Arabidopsis thaliana: one gene and its partner. The protein of the gene in region 1 interacts with the protein of each later gene in a pairwise test. Each region holds a gene or a part of one and is shown in the gene's direction. Other genes may lie near its edges.

Region 1 (4,903 bases):
ATAATTATCGAAAATTTTTAGTTCGAAAAATTTAACGTATAACATCACTTTTAATTTTCATTATTCGTATACGCTATACTTACATTTAAACCATTTATTTATTTATTTATAAAGTTTATATATGTATATAGAGAACTTACCAGGTTTTGTTATCCCAATTGTCCAATTGATAATTAAAGTATACCGACTTCTAGTTATAGGACTTCTAGGTGCATGCATGATACATACATGATGCATTATGCATATACATGAATTCTTCTAAAATGGATACATAATTAATTAGCACACACACTATCTTGGCTTCTTCGTTTCTTGGACGTCTTGGCTTTTTTTGGTCGACCCACATTAGCTTATTTTATATACACGATAAGAGACATACATTTTCATTCGCCAGGCCTGATCTTATATATTTATGTATAGCCGTATAGGGATATTTGTATGCATGCGTATTCAAGTGCTTCTTCTTTTCCGATCTGAATTGGTCCTTCTCTTTTCATATTTTCTTCACTTTTTCTTTCAATTTTCTATTATTTTTATACTTTCTTTGTACACATACTATATGAAGCATATCTGTATACACTGAAATCTAATCAGGAAATACGTAAAGTATCGTTACAAGAAATACGTAAAATAATGCTTGCCAATGATTGATTATCTTATCTAATCATTGGTATAATCTATATACGCACTTGCTACCAAATATTGCACTTATATGGAATATGAAGCATATATATGTTTATGGAAACAATAATGCCTTGGTATCATCATCACTTATATATATCATTTTAATTTTGTAAGTGCACTTGGATTAGAAAGGATATATAATTATATATCAACTACTTTGTTTGGTATATCTTTTAGGTCTTAATTTCGTTGGATGATTAAAGTTGTAGCTGACCAATACTATGCTAAGTCGCTAAATATTTTAATTATAGGAAATATAAGATCTATAATACAACCACAAGAGTTATCCAACAAACAACAACCTTTTTTGTGAATGGTATCTATATTCGTTGAAAATGACGGTATAATTTTAAATAGAAATTGATTACAGTTTTTTCTTTTCTTTGTTATGCACTATAGAAACTTTTTTTTTTTTTTGGATTCAAGCATGTGGCTCAACCATCAGGGTATGTCAAATTTTTTGAATGAACACATCAACTAATTAAAAGAACGTAAAAGTTAATAACTATTTTTCAGAAATGTAAACAGTAAAATCAAGACGTTAACAGTTAAATTCAATCAAGCAAAATGACAGTACACATGTCGGATTTGCTCAGATCCTCAATAGTTCTGATGTTCTTGTAAGTTTGTATCCCAAAACTTTCTGAAATTTAGTTTAAACAATATATTTAAGTGGTCCAAAGACTTCACAAACATTTTTTTTTTACGGAATAATAAAACGTGGAAAGGTCAAAGGTAAATAAATAATACTAATAGCTTACTAATTAAGGTTTATCATTAGTTTTAAATAAATAATACTAATAGCTTACTAATTAAGGTTTATCATTAGTTTCTTTATAAAATGGTTCGGACTCCTGAGGGTATATGGCTGTACCTTAATTTAAATACATGAAAGTATTGGTTTACTATCATTTGATTTTCTTTCATTGTTAAATTATCTCATATATTCTTAAGTTACATAATAAAAGAGTATTTTTTCATGACAAATTATCGCTTTTATATTTTACATACTTACTGAACCGTATCATATCACATATATAAACAATATTATATACTAATGGCTCGTTTAATTTTTTTCTTTTTAATAAATTAGTTGACAAAAATTATAAATTAGTTTTTTAAAATTTAATAGAAAATACGTTATGCTGTCAAAATTAAAAATAAGATAGAAAATATGTTGTATATTTAGTTATTTACTAAAAGCAATTGAATGGAGTAAAATTTGCCACGGTCAGAGTTATTCTTTCTTAAGTTCACTATTTTAGGTCCTCAATTAATTGAGGCCAATTTGTCTTTTTGTAATCTCATTATATTCATCTTCTTTCTCTTTCTCATCGCACCAAAAATGCCTTTTGCCCCTCTCTCTCTATATCCAACCCATGTCTCCTCTTTATCTCTCTAACTTTCCCCTTAGAGAGATTCCTCTTTCTCTCAAACTAGGGTTTCCTCTCTGAAAACAACAAAAATATCCCAATAATTGCAAAATCTACTTGAAGATTTTTCATTCTCCTTTCTTATAATTAATGCCCAAGAGAGAAACAAAGAAGATCAAACCTTCTCAAGAAGTTATCAAGGAAGGACCTTTTCTTGTTGCGATCCATTTAAAGGTAAGACCAAGAGTTTTTCATTCTGTACAGCCAATTCACTCACACTTGCATAATATATATACTTTCTATATATGTTGATTGATTATATAAATTTAGAGAGTTTAGATCATGAAAATTTGATCACTGGTCTTGAACTACCAAGTTATAATTTGGACGACCTTTTTTCTTTACAAAAGAAAGAAGAAGTTACAATTGAAAGTGAAATCAGGAATTCGGGACTTCTAATATACAGTGAAAGTATCCTATATAGCAGGTAATAAAACTCGGTCATAAATTCAAGATTCAAACTAATATGTAGTACATGTGGGGAACTCAGAGTCAGAGAGACAGAGAGTGCTTTGATGAGAACATGTTGTTTGTTTGTTTAGAACTAATACTAGCTCTAAAACGTAAAACCTGTGTGAGTAATTCGAATTTCCGACACCCATTTTCTTCATATTACTATGAATATCATATGGACGTTTACATTTTAATGTGTAATGTTACACAAGTTTATATAATTTCCCATAATCGTCTTGTGTGTTAGATTCACCAATAACTTTTTAGTATGGATTATTCTCAATTTCCCAAGATTTTATAATTATGTAAAATTAATTCATTAGACAAGGATGTATATATTTGTTTGAGATATATTTGAAATATAAATTTAGGTGGTATAACATCTTTTTGACGCAGAAAGAACACTATGAATAATGAATTTTAAGGATAATAAGATAGGAACATGCATCATACGTCTTCTAAGTTATATTGATGATGAGACTATTATTTCTAGTTACCATTTTACGTAGAATATAATGAATTTTGAGGATTAAAAGACTAAGAACATCATACGTCTTGTAAGTTATATTGTATTGATGATGATACCATTTTATTGCTACTTTGCTAGTTACCAAATTCAAAATGGAAATAAAACATTTGAAACTGTATCAATTTTTAAAAAGTGTACGTAGACATATTGTTGATAAGATATTGATAATTGATGTATATAGAAGAAGAAGAGACTCCAGAGAATTACAATATCGATCGATATGGATCAAAATTCATATCAATCTTATACTGTAGTTTCGAGAATTACTAATAAGATACTATGATGTGATTAAATCGTTTTTGCCATTTTTTTGCAACTGAAAAATCAGGGGATATATATGTCGAACTACACAAACTCACCGTGTGCAGCATGCAAATTCCTCCGGCGTAAATGCACGTCAGACTGCGTATTCGCACCCTATTTTCCGCCGGAGGAACCTACAAAGTTTGCGAACGTCCACCGGATATTCGGGGCAAGCAATGTGAGCAAGATCCTCCACGAAGTGGCTCCCCATCAGCGGGAAGATGCGGTCAACTCGCTGGCTTACGAGGCGGAAGCACGACTTAAAGATCCAGTGTATGGCTGCGTTGGAGCGATCTCGGTGCTCCAAAGACAGGTCTTGAGGTTGCAAAGGGAACTCGAGGAGACAAATGCTGATCTCATGAGGTACGCTGGTTGTCTCGGTGGTGAAACGACGTCGGCTTATGGTGGTCGGAGGGGTTGACTGGTCAACGAGAGTTGATTAGTCATCATCACTCTTTGAGAAAATTAGCGGCGGAGAAGTATAAAGAGAGAGAGGATGGTTGATGTGATGGTAAGTGTTATTAGTCGTATGTATATATGTGTAAATATGGGGACATGCATGCATGTATATTTATGTTTATTTTCATGTATATACTTATGCGTATGTGTAATTTAACTTGTAATTTTTTTTTCATGGGAGAGGTCAAGGAATATTTTTGATGATGTTGAATAACTAGATCTTGCTCATGCTCATATCTCCATAACTCTCTTTAACTTGATCTAGCTCCACTGATTTACATGTGGCCCATTGGTCATTATTCACAAGTTTTTTAGTTTCTGCTAAAAGATTTATGTTCTAAATTATGTATGTACACATATTTCATTGATTAATGACAGATTTTCTAGCATTTTATAAAGTTGCATTCAACGAATTGTGATTGCAATATTACTATTGTATTATGATATTCAAAAGAATAAAATTTCATGTCGACGGTTTTGTATAGACTCATAGGAATGTAGGCTAATAATTGGTTGTTTGATTACACACACTAGTCACTGGTCAGAAACACAAAGTTGCTAATATTTTAAGTTAATTGAGTGATTTTATATATTTGTCGACTTGAAAAAAGTTTAAATAAATTAATCAATTTAGAAACACCAAAATTTTGTAGCTTTAATTTAGGCACATGTCTTCATAGGGAATCTCTTTTTAAAGTCGGTCCTTTTATAATTTTATGTCATTTGGGGCGAACTAACAACCACATATATTTACATACAAATCAACTAATCTTGTCAAAAGAAGAAAATAACAAATGGAACTTTTCTTTTTGATGAGTAAGATTGCTTATAGTTTTTTAAGATTGAGTATGATGATACCCTAATAATAAGTTAAACCAAAAGCTCAATTATTCATGTATCTTAAGATACGGTATAGTTTCGGGTAGGGCTAAGCACGATTATTTGTTACTCGATCCTGTATCCATTATTTGCCTCATATCTGTTTTGAAAAACAAGTCTATATCCTTGTCGATACAAGTAATAATTAATATAATTTATATAC
Region 2 (3,484 bases), about 10 Mb from region 1:
TGTTATAATTCTCACCGTTCACGTGTCCCCTCGACATCGCATATATAACAAAACTGCCCTTGATTCCGGCAAAGAGAAAGAGAGAATATGATGATGCTAAGGCAAACGTCGAGAAAGGCTTACCTAGGGTTACAGGCGTCTCCTCTAGGGTTAGGTCGTCGATTATACCACGAGAATGTAATCGACCACTTTGAAAACCCTAGAAACGTTGGCTCCTTCAACAGGAATGACCCTAACGTTGGCACGGGATTGGTAGGAGCTCCTGCCTGCGGAGACCTCATGAGCCTCCAGATTAAGGTCGATGATTCAGGTCAGATCATTGATACTCGATTCAAGACCTTTGGCTGTGGCTCCGCTATCGCCTCATCTTCCGTTGGTATGCCTTCGAATCAGGGTTTTCAATTTTGATCGATTCGTTAAGAGGCTCATGATCAGAGTCAGGTAGATGTAGACAGGTTATAATTTGTATATTTGTTTGGTTCAGCTTCTGAATGGATCAAGGGCAAAACCTTAGACGAAGTTATGACCATCAAGAACGCGTAAGTGCCTTTTAACCATCAAAATCATGTCTCTTAGATATATCGTCAGGATTGTTATCTCTAACTCTGTTCTAGTGCTTGGAATATCCCAAATCTAGTGATATGGTTAACATTTTGATGAATGAGTCATTGTTTTGGGATTCTTAAATTTGCAGGGAAATCGCTAAGCATCTTAGGTTGCCACCGGTAAAGCTACATTGCAGTATGCTTGCAGAGGACGCTATCAAGTCCGCGGTCAGAGACTACAAGGAGAAGCAAGCAAAGACTAATGCTGCTGCTGCAGAAGAAACCGTCAAGGCCTGATGATTCCACTTATACCGCATTGTGCTGCTGCTGATGATGAATTACACAAACTTACAAAGAGAGGTGTGTTTGGTTGTTTTAGTTTTTCTCTTCTTTTCAAATGTTTATTTAAGTGCTTTGAATAAAAATAGCTGAGCATGTGACCCAGATCCCAAGTTTTTTCTGCATTGTGATGATTCCTCTTCAATGTCTTATGGAATAATTTGTTGCTGTGATATTGATAATTTTGATCATTTGATGTTAGACATAGCTGTGAGATTATAATGACACAAGCTTCAGCCTGAACATTCACAAAATAAGATCAAGTCACCAAATAAGGGCCTTAACAAATGAAAAGCCCAAAGCCTTGCCACAGCAGTCACCATTTGTCACGTCGAACCTTCTAACTGAAACAAAAGTTCTCCTCCACTTCTTATAGGCAAAGCAATTTACGAAAGTGCCCCTTTCTTCTTCCGTAGCTGCTCTCACTTCTCTCAGTGCTTATTGATCTCTCTGTTTCCACTTTCTCTCTTGCTCGCTCTCACTCTCTACCTCTCTTCTCATTTTCCCAGAGAACTACGAAAAACCAAAAATTTCCTTTGTTTTCTTCTTAATCCGATTGATTCAGAGCATTACGTATCACTCTTGCTCAACAGTTATTGCTCAGTCTCCGGCGATTTCTTTTGCGTTTTCTCGAGAAAAGTAACGGAAGATCGATTCTTTCAACTATTTCTACCCTCATACTCTTCGCCAATCATCTCGTCTTCCAACAAGCTTCGTTTTAATGGAAGAACAACAAGAATTTGAGAAACCCATCTTCGAATTCCGTCCTAAGAAGCTCAGAACCTCTCGAGTTTCGAGAAATCTCATGAAGAAGACTGGCTTCAGAGAATCTATGAATCATTACGAAGAGCTCTCTTGCAACTACGGATTGAGGGAAAACCCGAAGAAAACCCAGAAATCTTTACTCGATCATCGATTCTGTACGAGGAGGAGGAGAAATAAAAAGATCCTGATTCGATGCAAAGAATGCGGGAAAGGGTTTCTTTACGAGAAATGTCTGTTTAATCATCTCCAAGTGACGCATTCTGAAGAATCTACAAGAAGAAGCCTGTTTTGTAGGTTTAGTATTGTGCAGAGGAGAAAAAGATCGAAGAGAGTTTCCAGGTACAAGAAGATTCTTCCTCGATTCTCTGTTTCTTCTTCTTCGTGTACTATGTTTCCTGTTTCTGTGGATGATGGAGGATTATTAGAAGTCGCTGAGTCTCTGATTCTCTTGTCCATGAGTGGTGGAAAGTTCGTGAATGGTTTGGAACATTTTGGTAAAGCTCTGGGTTCGACTCAGAGAAAATTTGAAGACGGGTTATTGAGAAATGAGCAGAGACTTGTTGGTGAAGCTCTGGATTCGAATCCAGAGGTGAATTTGAGAAAAGATGGAGACTTTGAATATGGGCTTTTGAGTAATGAGCAGAAGAAACTTGTGGGGATAAGCAGAGCATCTGTTGGAACATCGAAAGAGCTTTCGGGTTACTTGGCAAACAAGAAGGGCAGAGAAGATGATGAATTGGGTCAGCAGAAACAGGCTGGAGCAAGAATACTTAGAGAAGAAACTGATAACGAACAGAAACTTGTTCGTCAAGAAACTGCATTTGAAGATTCAGTATCAGGATTTGAGATGAATATAGAGCATCGGTGTGGGCTCTGTCACAAGGTTTTCTCGACTTATCAAACTCTTGGTGGTCATCAGACGTTCCATAGAATGAGAAACAAATCCAAAAGTCAAACCAAGAGATGCAGAGAAGAATCGATAGAAGCTGAAGCTGGGATTAATAATGGTTCAGTGACGTTGACAATAAGTGCAGAGTTTGCTGAAGGCTGTTTAGGTCAGTACATGCTTTAAGAGGTTACAAGAAGTGTCACCACACGAGAGCAAATGATGGAGAGACCTTTAGATTCCATGTGGATGTTTCTATGGTTACTAGTGGAATATTTGAGCAGGAGTACTGAAGAAGAAGATCCCCTCTAATGAATAATGAAGTTTTGGAATTTTTGTTGTTGTTGTTGTCTAATGGAGTTGTGACTTGTTGTATTTTCATACGTAGAGAGGTTTCGTCTTTGGTTTTCTCAAATGGTTTGGTATTCAAAGTTGTACAGCAACTTGTAGCTGTGTTATGGTTTTAGCATTAATCGTTCTTTCAAATCTTTTTCCCTTAAGTTTGTGCATTTTGAATGTGTTACTAATATTTTGAATTACAACAAAATCTTGAGGAGCCGAATACAATCATAAACAAATCAGATGATAAAAACTCGTAAATCGTTTCTAAATTGTATTCAACTATACAATATATTGGTAATGATATTGCAACTTTAAGTTGAGAGATCATACTGGAAAAAGTACAGTATCTTTTTTTTTTTTTTTTTTTTTGACCGTATCATATCGTGTCGGTTGGTCTTCGCATTAAAATTAAAACTTTTCAAAATTAGTATGACGAATATTCATTATAAATGAAACTAAATACACATTCCTTTCTTGCGTATATTAAATGACTACGACAGAAAGATAATCGTACGATAGTTTTCAGAAATATTTGTGAGGTGTTGAAATAATATTAGAGTTTCCTAATTGTATACTTTTCTTCTTCTTTTTGCAGCCACTTATTTCT

The links.
Region 2: the proteins of LBD25 (region 1) and AT3G01030 interact in a two-hybrid assay, tested with the Arabidopsis thaliana proteins (one large-scale study listed by BioGRID).

What each region holds. Positions count from the first base shown.
Region 1 is NC_003074.8:10,236,524-10,241,426, forward strand, and holds LBD25 (LOB domain-containing protein 25), read left to right. Parts: upstream 1-1,990; 5' UTR 1,991-2,207; coding exon 2,208-2,291; intron 2,292-3,427; coding exon 3,428-3,823; 3' UTR 3,824-4,125; downstream 4,126-4,903.
Region 2 is NC_003074.8:5,052-8,535, forward strand, and holds AT3G01030 (C2H2 and C2HC zinc fingers superfamily protein), read left to right. Parts: upstream 1-1,605; coding exon 1,606-2,721; downstream 2,722-3,484. Other genes in the region: ISU2 (ISCU-like 2), read left to right, coding at 88-376, 485-539, 695-842.